2 linked regions of the Drosophila melanogaster genome follow. The protein of the gene in region 1 purifies or fractionates together with the protein of each later gene. This does not show direct contact. Each region holds a gene or a part of one and is shown on either strand. Other genes may lie near its edges.

Region 1 (6,663 bases):
TTAAAATTTATATTTTTCCATGGATTGATGAAAGAACTTTAGACCAAGACTTTACCTTTTTATTCGCCCACAGATTGCACAGCATTATAGTTGCTTGTTTTTTTTTTTGGGTACCGAAAGTAAGCAACATGGCCAAGTAATGTCTAGCATAAACATAAAAATCCATCGTGCGTTAGCCTCCTTCGCCCGAAAGCCACAAACACAACAGAGTTTGGGGCTCAGAACCGCCTCCAGACCTCCCCCCCCCCTCACCCCAAGAAGGAGGCGAAGGATGTGCCCCGGCTGGGTGTCTGCAGATTAGGATGAAGGTCGCGATGGCTCGTCGGTGTCTCCTGTCAGAGTGCTCACTCTGCTCTTGGCCATGATTTAATTAAAGTCTACATGTGCTAAGTAGATTTTATTCTTTGCTCGCTCATTTGGTTTATTTGCCTATTTTTTCGCCCTAGTTTTCTGTTTCGCCTGCTGGCCATAATTGATTTAGGCATTTACTGCATTAGGCCAAAAAAAAAAGGCGCTCATACACTGGGAATGAAGTCAGGAAGAGGAAAGATACCATATTTGATTTATCAAGGAAACTAAGTCATTTCTCAATAGTGACTTTTCTGGATATATATTATGCTATTTACCGTCTGCCTCATACGAAATGAAGTCAACTAATTAACTTGTGCCTCCTCCTTGATAGTCAATTTTGGCTTACAATTGTGATTAGTAAATACGTATATGATATGTAAAATTTTAATAAACTTAACTACGGCCGTTGGTCATTGTTAATTTATAGCACATACATTCATAATTCATATCTTAGAGATGGTATTGAAATATGCTTTTATATGTGCACTATTAAATTGAACATGTGTGAATTGCGAGTGAGATCTACTTACACAACGATTTGACTGCAGGATGTTGTTGGATGGCAGGACTCAAGTGTTGTTGTTGCATTGTCCAAGCTCTCGAAATGCTTATCATTATTACGAGGATTGGCGTTGCGATGCAACCGAAGCATTTTCCCTCCATAGCCATGGTCCTGCGAGCCGGATCTTACTTATTTATATTTATTCACCTCAATGGCGGTTAGATGAGTGTAATTTAGCCCCACAAGTTTACGTATTTTGGTTTACATTACTGCTAATGGTTTGGTTCCTAAATCGTTTTTGAAGTGCATTCTATAAAGAGAGGGAGGAAACATTTTCATTAACGCTATTATTTGTGAAATATTCATGAAAAGCACTTGAAATGAATTAATTTGAATTATTGCAGCCATTCATTGCACTGCTGCCTAACTTAACATAAATCATTGAAAAATTATAAAAGTGTTTTTTTTTTTTTTGTGACAAGAATATAATTAAATAGTTATATTTTTTTGCAAATTCTAAAGGATTCAAGCCATATATAGCCAAGTTTATAGTTGGGGTATGTGAAAAACCAATTTCGTCCATCGAATTCCATGTTCGTACAGCATTTAACTGAAGCAAACATTGATATTAACCGTAGGCCTTCATTATAAATGTCCTTCATTCACATCATTTATCCTGTATCAAATTGCAACGGCATTAATTTATTTTTACATTTTCGGAATGTTTACGTTTGTATTTGTTAAGCCCTCATATATTGTCTGTAGTGGCAAGTTGCTTATCGCCACCATGTCACAGGAGCAGTTTTAACCAACGCAATTTGTATATTTACAACCCGCAAGCCGCACTCAAATAGTTTTTTATTTGGCCATAAAACACATAAATTGTGCAACTGAAAGGTGTAGCCTTGATCACTCACGAAATGTGCAAGGGTCAAAAACCAATTAAAATGTTAATTTCTCCACAAACTGCGCTTTGTTTCACGTTACAATCGTGCTCCACGAACGATCCAAGAGATATTGTATTCAATAAATATCGATTCCATGCCCTTCGACCCACCCTTCAGTTATCATTACCACAGCACTTAAATGATTTCAACCGTTGCTGGAGTTGTGTAATGAGTTGTTGTTTGTTGCGATGCCAATCAAACAATGGTGGTAAAATTAACATGGAATCAGCTTAAAATGCGCACTGCAATTGTTATTTTCATGGCATCGTTGGTTAATTGAATTTAGTGGTTTTGGATATGTATTGTTACTTTTTGGATAATTTAATGCCAAACTTTCATCGCGATAATGATGCATTTATAATTTTAGGCTAGTCCATTTTAAGTGCCACAAGTACAGTCTGCTGTTAATTAATGATATATATTGTACTTCTATGGCAGAGTCACTCAAATTCAACTAAGCCCACTTATCAAATTTAGCAACTGGCTTTTGTCTTCCGTTGTGTACTTCAGGCATAAATGCAAGTTAATTAAGCAAACCTGGTTGCACATTAATCACCTGGACACCCGGCCAAAAAGCCACAAAAGCACCTGGAGACCACTTGATCTTTAAGGAGAAAAGTCAAGGCATAAAGCTCGAAAGAAAATTCAATTAGAAAAACACGAAAGGCGGCCAAAAGAGCGAGGAAAACGGTTCGATTTCAATGTCTTCTTTTTTTGGGGGCTGTCCCCGGACATATGTATATACTGCTATTCCCTATTCAAGCCATTCTTTATAAGGTTATAAGATTAATGAGAGACAAGCTCATCTAATACTATTCCCTCAAGCGGCACTTAATTAATGCCACATGCAAAGAGTCCTGCGAGGTCCTTGGCCTTTGTCGAGTCCTTTTAAAGGCAGCTGGCAAATTGTCCAAGAAGTTTTCCTTAAAATTTTTTTTACTGTCGTACTTAACGAGTTTTTACTAAAACAAGGTCGGCCTTTTGCCTTTTTGCTTAAATATTAAATGTAATTATACTTTATTATATAGTATAATATGTGCAAAAAATGCTTTAAATCAAAGCCAGTGCTAACAAATGGATGTGTACATGTTTGCAAAAGTTTTAAAAGTCCAAAACTACACCAATTATTGACTGTCTGTGGAAAGTTTATTTATTGACGGAACAACTTTGACCTTTCCGCATCACCTCATTAACTTTTTTGTGGTTTAGTGAATTAATTACCTTTCCTACTTCATATCACCACAAGAACTCATTAGAAATGAGGACTCACTTCAAAGTCAATCCGTAACACACGTGCTCATTAGGTACATATTTCCGATTTTTCATTCTGCCCTGGATTTCAGAGGAAAAATGCGAGTGAACTTCAAAAGCAGATAAGGCGAAGAAGAACTTGGAAAAACTTCCATCTCAACTTGGAAAAACTTTGATTTAACATTTATTTTTGCACGAAACTCTTGGTTGTTGTTTATGCAACTGTCTGGAGTTTCAGTTGAAGTCTGTAAAAAATGTGTTTTGTTTTCTGTGTTTCAATCCTATCGCTAAGCGTATAATTTGCAAGAAACCTGAGTAACAAATGCATTTTCGATTGGCATTAAATCACGTCGCCCGTCCGAGTTCATTTCCGATGAGAAATAAATGTTTTTCTCTGATTTATCTGTGCTCCACTTTTCGAGGAGGGAAAATCGAGCCACATTGAATGCGAAAGAGCAGTGTGGGTGGGTTAATATTAATGTACTTAAAGCTGTTATTCGACTCAATTTTGGTGTCAGCAGCAGCAGGGCGAATATTTCCCATGAATTTAACCATTTAAACATCCAATGTTAGTTTTTAACAGACAATTAATTCAGGGGACAATATCTTTCACTGGCCGCATAAAGCGGCCTCCAATTCGAAACTTCACTTTTGCCTCAAGAGCATTATACACTGAGCGAAATCGAAGCCGAACGATCTTAGTGTCGTCTCGCGCACAAGTTGAAAAAACAGATGCGGCAGTTGGGAAAGTTGGGAAACCGCGACACCGCTATCGAATGCGGCAACTACGAGATATCCTTTCGTGGCCAGGACCACAATCTGCGATAAGGACTCGTAGTCACATCCGCGCCAAAGGACGAAACACGTGCGCCGCGACTTGAAATTCATTTGATACTGCGGCATCCGAGGCCGGAGCTTTTCCGTATTGTTGTTTCCTCCGCGCTGCAAGTAATCGTTCCGATGTGAACCGAGTCCTGCCAGCCACGAACAGGACGACGAGTTGGTTGTTATTGTCACTCCCGCACTCCGAAAACGGGTGACTTTGCGGCGAATTCGGGAAAATCCTTGTATTTGAAGGGGCGACTGTCTCCAAGATGAACGTCTAAAAGGGAAATTTTGCGGGGAGAATTTAAGCAACTATAATGAGAACCCTACTTTGTTGTACCAATTAGGAAAAGATTCTATCCAATCATGCCATTTCATGAAGATACCAAAGCTTATAAATATTTTAGAAATATAATTAAAACTTCTTCAACTTTAAAGGTGTTATTTTTCAAATACGCAACAATTTTTTGTTGTTTGCACTGCTTTGAATTATGATACACTGCTTAGGAATTTCTCTTCACTGCTTATATGGGTAACAAAAACCTAGGGAAATTTTAGTTCTTGGACTGCTTGCAAAACATTTGAACTGCTTAGTTTCGAGAGAACTGTTCTAGAAAAATTGCCCAGGAAATATTACTGATCTAAATTCTAGTCTCTTTTGGGAAATAAAAACTGCTTTCAAGCCGCTTTTCCAATTTAAACAAGTGTGTAGTGCAAGCCATGCTGCCAATGCCAACAGGTGTGTTCAGAATCTTACGATTCATCAATATGCCCCCAAAAACATAATCAAGCACAGAAAAACATTGAGAAATACGCCTTTACTTCACATCTTTCAATTTTATTTTATTTATGCAAAATCGTGTTTTCCATTAAATATACAAATGAGATTTAAAATCAAATCAAAAGTATCGCGCTATTATGCAAGTATTGGGGAGGAGTCTACAGAAATGTACACACAAATGCAAGAAAACTATGAATAAAAGTATAAAAATATTTGAATCTATTGTTTGCCTTCAAAATGCAGTTGGAATTGTTAAGTTCAGTTAACACAATAGAGTTAACACTTCGCGCATCGCCACAAAAAACGCACTTTAATAATTACAATTACAAAATTTCAATGGTAGAACTTTTCACAAAACTCTCATGCCGTTGTAAACGAATTTAAAAATAATGTTTTCTCAACTTGGAGAAAAATGTTTAAACACATGTTTTACAACAGAAAATTTCTCGTGTCTTTCACTAATTTATCAGTATCGAGGTTGAATTTACTAGATTGTTAGTGTACTATCGGCATCCACAAAGATTTGCTCGTATTGCTTTTTCTTAATTAAACTTGACGAGAAGTTGTTGATAAATGTGAATGACTTCTTGAGTTTCGACTTATAGAACATTTTCCGGTTTTTTAACTTTTTGCGAAAAATTAGGGCTTCCTTCACTATTTACTATGACGCGTATTCTGTTTGCATCTGCTGCAGCTGCTGATGATGTTGCTGTTCGAGAAGTAAGCGTTCCTGACGCTTAAAATCATTTGAGCTTGGCGTATGCGTCGACCTTTTTGTGAAACTGGTTGTAGTACTCCAGGGCGGCGTTACGCGTCTGGTTCAGCGCCTGATTGATGTTCTCGGGCGAGAGACGGCCACTAAACAAAGATCACAATCATAAGGGATGCATTCTCAAAGACAACAAAGGCCAGGCAGGCAGGCATACTTACACAAGCACCTTTTCCTTGATGAGCGCTGCAGCCTTTTCATAGCTGCTGGCGGCTAAATCGCTAACGCCAGCGGCAAAAGCTTCGATTTTGCCAGACGAATTGGGCACGTATTGGTCAATCTAAAATATAGATGGAACGTATTATTAATTCAAAACTGGTTTGCCCATGACCTCATCTTCATGGCGACTAAAAGACACTTACGAACTTTGCCACAACGGGCCATTTGGCGCCAAAGTATCCCTTGCCGTTCTGGTAAGCGTTGCAGGCCGCATTCCTCGCCAGCTTCCACAGGTCACAGGTGGTCTTGATCACCGGCTCGGCGTACGGCGGCACATTCACTTCCGCCCACTTGTAGCCCCGCGCTCCGGCCCCCATGACCGTGTACCAGGACTTCTGGACATGCGGCAGGACTCCGGCATTTTTCAGCACCTTGCCGGTGGCCGATTTCTCGAACACGCCCTTGCCGTTCACCTCGGTATCGTAGTACAGAGCTCCGGCAATCAGGGCGATGATGAAGATGCTACCCAAGGTCCACTTGCAGCATCCGCATTTCTTTTTTTCTGCCGCGGCCTTCTGTTTGTTCTTCTTCTGCTGCGCGCTGCTCTTCTCTTGGACGCTCTACATAGTACAAAATTAGAAAATTATTAAGAATCTTAATTGCTGGGGATAGTTGATATTGTGGAATCATTTGATTGAGTTCAATTTTTTACCTTTTTGGCGGCCGGCACTGGTTTGCCGCTCTGTTTGTTACTTTTCGGTTTAACCTGAGCCATTTTCTAACTTAATTTCAATGAGTTTCGATTATGAAGAGTATTTCTAGATTTCCTCAGCTGTTCGCAAAAGATGTTTAATTATTTATTGTGTTTATCATTGCAATTGTGTTTGCTAAAAAGAATGACGAGACTTTTTGAGCTTTTAAACTGAGCTTTTTTTGCGACTGAGCTCGATGACCTAAGATTTAAGAGTAAGCTAAAACCGCGAGTGAGGATGGGGATAATTAAAAATTGGAAATACGTAGTTATAATACCATTTTGTCCAGATTAAAAACATTTATATTCAATATGCAGGCTATGCTT
Region 2 (6,091 bases), on another chromosome or scaffold:
TCAAATTCGTGCACGTATTTTCGCGGCAATCCAAACTATCAATTGCAATTTCCTCGAGTTTTTGTGACTCACAAGTCGCAAAAGCAATCACAGCGATTAAAATATAGTTCAGATAGTTTAGCATCCGCATCTTGGCTTTAAAAGACTGAGCAATTTTTGGCTTGGGGGGCATTTTAATACAAAACCAGAACACAACCTTCAGAAACCAGCCAAAAAAAAAAACAAAAAAAAGCGAAAACAGGTCTTTAGGCGCTAGTTTGTTTGTTTGTTTTTCTGTCGACCCCCTCCACAATCTGGTTCGATTTTTTGTCAATAAAATTTTATTGTTCCTCTCAATGAATATATTTGCTTTGTTTTTGCTTCTACGATTCGCTGGGAAATATTATCAGGCTTTTGTCATAATACCCGGCCGATAAGCACGATCTCGCGATCCTCCACTTCATAACACATACTCGTAGTTATGGTTTATAGTTTATGGCCCAGTTGTGCCAACTGATATGGAATGGCTGCTGTTTTGTGGACGATGTATTGCCATTGCAAAAGTAAGCCAATGTATGGCTACATTACGTCTGGCCTGTCGCTCTGATAATCATGGGAATTGTTTACAGCAGTTAATTGAGATTAATATCTTTTGATGGACTAAGGACTGCATATGGTTTCGATTGAAACTTTAACTATCTTAACTATCTTCACTTTCTTAGCTTGATTTCTTATCTTTAAAGCGAATAATGTATTTCCCCGCATTTGCTGCATCTAATTAAGCTATAAATATGTTCATAAAATCAGTCTACACTGATATAAACTAACTTGTTTCGTAGCAAAAAATTGGATATTATTTATAAAGCCATAGTTATTGAAAGCATTTCCGCCTTAGAACAAATTTACAAAAGCACTTGGACATAAACTTGCCAATTTGAATGGCAATTAGCTCATTTTCCAGTTATATCACCATCTAGTTGCGTCATCATTGCAGTCAGATGGGTGGAACAACCTTTGGATATCCTGAGCATTTAGCGTTCGAATGACCAATAAACCCAATGAAATAAATCAAGTGCCATAAACCGACGGCGCCATATAAAAGCACCCACAATAGAGGCGTAAAATGGTGCGCTATATGTTCTGATTTAATATATTTCTATATCGCATTTGTTTACACTGCTAAACTATTGGGCGAATTTGATTTGAATAAAGTACAGACGGCGGGGACAAAGTCTCGACAGAATAAAAGCCTGGTAATTTTCACTCTTTGTTTTTTTTTTTTTATTTCTCGAAACTTGTATGCAAAGTAATTGCGGCAAATTGAATTCAACAAAGGGGGCACAGGCGAAAAAGTGAAAAAAAGACGCTAAACGAAGTCATGCCGTTTCAATTGAGATACAATACACAGCTACAATAGATACAGATACAGCTATGGCAAATGCCATGCAAAGAACAAAAGTCGTCTTGAGTCGAGTAATTTAAAAGCCATTGGCTCATAATAAGCCCAATGCAAACAGGCAGATCAATTGTGAATACATAAAGTGAAAAAAATTAGCCATCGATATTCAAATTGTTTGTTTGCCCAGGCGGCCAAAGCCGAGAAAATCCCAACGCAAACGAATGGAAAATTAATTTTTAACATTTCAACAAGCGTATAAATTTGTTTGCATACAAATTAATAAGGCTCTACCTGTCATAATCTTTTTGTTTTCGCCCGCTAAGCTGCAACTGGCAAATTGAACGACTGAGAAAGCAGGTTGAACGTGTTCTCAAAACCGCTGGCATGTTGGCTAAATAATTGGCTAAATATTTTACACATTTTTCCACTGGACATGTCACCGCTTCGCAGGCGAAAGTTCTGGTTTCGCTATATTTACGAATGTTTTTCGTGTAAAGGTGCCTACATTCTTGCCTGATTGCTTTAAAAATAAGACTAGGAATAAATGCAGACGACAAAGTAGTTAACGGAAGTTCGTTTGCTCTTATCAAACCGAAACTCAAATGCCCTCCACTGAATTGTTCGCCTGATAAATAATGAGTCATTCGGGCAATCATCAGCAAAACTACACAACGCAAGGCAGTGCCAACAAAATGCTAAATGGCTGTTGTGTAAATTATATAGAAGGTATTTTAAGCAACGTTTCCACGCGCCTATATTTTCGATGGTAAAAGCCAAAGATGGATGGGCCCCAATGAAAATACTCTTACATAAAAATGGGCGAATGTCTGGCCTCATGTCCACTATCAGCAGCCAAAAGAGATTTCCACCTTTTGTTCAGCAAATCGCTAAGTAAACACTTCATGATAAGAGAACACACTGGAAATGAGTGGGAATTGCTCCACAGATATTGTACAAAGTTTTGTTTTTTTTTTCAAAGTCTGTGAGTTTTGAATGGAGCCAACAGAGCGAGAACTTCCATAGAGCAGCAAAAAATCATGAATAATAAACGGAAAAGCAGCACAGACAAGTGTCAAAATAATGATAGGTACAAAAAAAAACAAACCGATTTTCATCTCTCTCGTACAGCAAAAGATGTTAATTTCTTTTAAAAGGAGTTCCCAGACAAATAATTGTAATTAAATCTATTAATTAGTCAGCAGTGATTTCCAAAGCATCTCAATTCTTCGAAATAGAAATAGTATTTCAATCCGATTTCAAAAAAAAGAAAAAAACCCTGCCTTACATTTTCGAAATGCGCTGTACCCGCCACAGATGAACCATATTTATTTTCGCAAAATCAGAACACCATGAATAGAATGGGATGGCAATTATATAGAACTGATGATCGTTATTTGAGCATTATAGAGGAGCTTATCTGGCCAGGCGTTTGGCGGTCAACGTTTGGAATCAGTTTCAGGTCGAACGTGAATCGTGGAGCACGCCAAATGTACGTCCGGAATTGTCTGCCGTTCCTCTGCAGCTATTTGCTGATCTCATTGGCGGCCACAGCTACTACGGATGAGGACGCGGATGCTGATGTGGATAGTGGCTCATCCCGAATAGTGCTGGTCTCCAGCTTGGAAGGTCATTGCCAGACGGAGGGCAAGGTGACCAGCTGCAGGGGCTTTGAGTTTGCGGGAGAGGACGAGAAGGCCACCTTTGATCTGCCAACGGAGGTGCGGATTGCCGAGGATGGCACCACCTACGAAGTGGGCGATGAGGAGCACTCGCGAACCCTGATCTTCGAGAACTGCACCTTCACCAATTTTCCCCTGCGCTTATTTTACACACTAGAGGTCAGTGAGCTGGACATGCGCGGCTGTGGCATCCGCTTCATTTACTGGGAGAACTTCTCCATTGGTGCGGATAAGCTGGTGATTCTTCTGCTCAGCGATAATCACATCGAAGTGCTGCCCACGAAAACCTTCAGGGGAGCAGGAAACTTGGAGTTTATCTTCCTGAATCGCAACAAACTAGGCAAACTGCAGGCGGGTGCGTTTGATAATCTCCTGAAATTACAGTACCTGGATCTCACAGAGAATCGCCTGGAGGCTTTAGCCGCGGACGTATTTGCCGGACTGAAGAGTCTGCGGCACGTGGGACTGGCCGGTAATCAACTGACCACCATTGAGAGCGATTTATTTGCCCACAATCCGGACCTTTTGTCGGTCGCAATGCAGAACAATCGACTGCGAGAGGTGGGCGAGTATGCCTTTCGATCCCGCGGACGACACCATCAGATGCAGTATGTGGATCTATCGAATAACCCCGAGCTGGTCGTTCTACTGCTGAACATTAACGCCACCAATTTGACCGCTCGCAATTGCTCGCTGGACCGTGTCAATTTGTACGGATCGGTGACGAATGTCGATCTGAGCGACAATCGCGTGCGCGAGCTGTACTTTCCCGCCTCCGAGGCACTGGAGCATTTGGTGCTGCGCAACAACTCGCTGGTTCAGCTGGCGTCGTTGAGCCGCGTGCCCAGACTCCGGCACCTGGATGTGGCGGACAATCCGAACCTGGGTCAGTTGCCCGACGGTTGGCGGACGCCACATCTGGAGATGCTGGTGCTGCGGAATACGGGCCAGATGGAACTGCCGCTGGAGGCGTTGCAGGGTATGCAAAATTTGCAGAAACTTGACATATCCGGCAATAATTTGACGGAAATCGATCCATCCGCGTTCCCCACGCTCACGCAACTAACGCACTTCTATATTCATGGAAATAACTGGAACTGCTTCAGCCTGAGAAACATAATGGATGTGCTCATTCGTGCCAATGGCATTGCCTATACCGTGGATAACTACGATCCCGATTTTCCGGGGGAATACTTTCACGGAATAGCCTGCATGTATCGCTTGCCCGAAAAAGAGGGTGTGGACTCCTCCTCCTCTTCGGAAATCTCCGCCAGCGTAGAGTCCTCGCCCATAACAAGTAGTTCTGATCCCAGCGAGGTGGACAAACTGCGCGATGAACTGAAAGCAGTGGTGCAGCACTTTGATTCCAAGTTCGATTTGATATTCAGTAAACTGGCCCAATTGAATGAACAAATTCAGGCCTTTGAAGTGCTCAACAAAACTGTTTGGAGTCAAGTGACCTTGTCCGTTTGAAGTTGTTAAATATGGCCCATTTTTTATGTGATCACTACATTTTCAAAGCTTTACAATTATATGTATACATTATAATTAATATTTGAAGTATTTCCTAAAGCTTCTTAATTTTAAACATAAAATCTTTCGATCCAATAAATAAATCATTTTTTAAATTGTTGGAAGAATTCCACTAAAGAATTCGCGTGTATGTTTTTTTTACCAGTTCTTGATAATATACAAAGTTGGAACCATAATCTAACAAAACAGGAAGGCTTTTCGTCTTTGTTTAAGATTTAGTTTCCTAGAATATCATTTTTTTCTACGCCTATTCAATTCCTAATCTCGAAAACAATTTCTGCTCCATTTCCCTGCTGATTTTGCATACTCAACCCCAAAAAACCAATACAATTTGCAACATGAGCACATCTAGTAAATATTTATTGCTCGCTGTGTCGTATACGTAGAATAATATTTAAACAATAATATTGATTTTCGAGCAAAGCAAAGTTGGGTTCTTTTTCTGAAAGATATTGAAAGAGGTTCGTTCAACTCGGGCTGGCGAACCAAAATGGAAAAACGAGAAGAAAACTGGAGGGCGAAGACAAGATGGTGGGGCTCGGGGAACTTGAGTTGAATTGAACAAAGTCAAGTCAATTACAAAACCAATATTTTCGGAAACTAAACAACAATATTGAATTCGATCGAATGGACCAGAAACCGAGTTATTTTATTGCCATCTGCTAATGCGAACAGTTTTAATTATTTATGCTTTATCCCTTCTATTCGCTTACTCGCACATTTATGGCTAACTAATTGCTAAGATAAACAAACAGTTTCGATTTCAGTGCAGCCACTTCGTAAGGACGGAAAGTAGAAACAAATCCAATTTCACGGATCTCGACGATCACTGGTCGATCTGCTGATCCGGAGTATCGTGTGCATGTGATTAGGAATAAATCCATACATACATATGTATATCCATTCGAACACGAGTTTCAAATACGTTTTGTTTACATTGGCAGTGCAATTTTTGTTTTAAGGTAATTGGCGGCACACAAATCGTGGCAGCTGTAAGTGCGAACATTCAATTTTACCATATAGTGCGACTGACTATCTGCGACTTCTAGTAGTTGTATCCGCAGATCAAAGTTCGACATTTCCTGATTGCCAACTTCAGTAGCTATCTTTTTTTAATTTCTGGGCATTCGCTTGAAGTGTGCTTACTTAATTAGTCAATGTCTAAAATGTAGTAGGCATCGTGATAGGGTACTTTTACATTTAAAGAAATCCACTCACGATTTTATAACCATAACTTCAAATGAGTTTCGACAAAAAAAAGTCGTATGAAGAATTCAGGTAAGACCCTTTGAATTGTTTTATGTTATTATATTTTACATTGCCTGATTTAATACTGTTATTCCTGTTATTGATACTGTTATACACTATCTATTACATAATTGATCGCTTTTATTAAATGTTTTCTAAATATAAAAAAATTTAATAAAATTGTTTACACATTCTGAAAATCTAATTATGAAAAAATTTTGGGCGATTTTGGGTATTTTCCCAGCGTCGCCGC

What was found. Proteins that work in one complex are often made in the same cells at the same time.
Region 2: the proteins of dpr2 (region 1) and cDIP purify together in Drosophila melanogaster (affinity purification with western blotting; 2 studies listed by BioGRID). This does not show direct contact.

Annotation. Positions count from the first base shown.
Region 1 is NT_033779.5:10,960,205-10,966,867, forward strand, and holds the start of dpr2 (defective proboscis extension response 2), read right to left. Parts: upstream 3,950-6,663; 5' UTR 3,022-3,949; intron 1,164-3,021; 5' UTR 1,021-1,163; coding exon 882-1,020; intron 1-881. Other genes in the region: Tmem214 (transmembrane protein 214), read right to left, coding at 5,401-5,515, 5,588-5,706, 5,789-6,205.
Region 2 is NT_033777.3:21,157,829-21,163,919, reverse strand, and holds cDIP (common Dpr-interacting protein), read left to right. Parts: upstream 1-2,827; 5' UTR 2,828-2,865; coding exon 2,866-4,530; 3' UTR 4,531-4,682; downstream 4,683-6,091. Other genes in the region: CG5810 (uncharacterized protein), read right to left, coding at 1-130.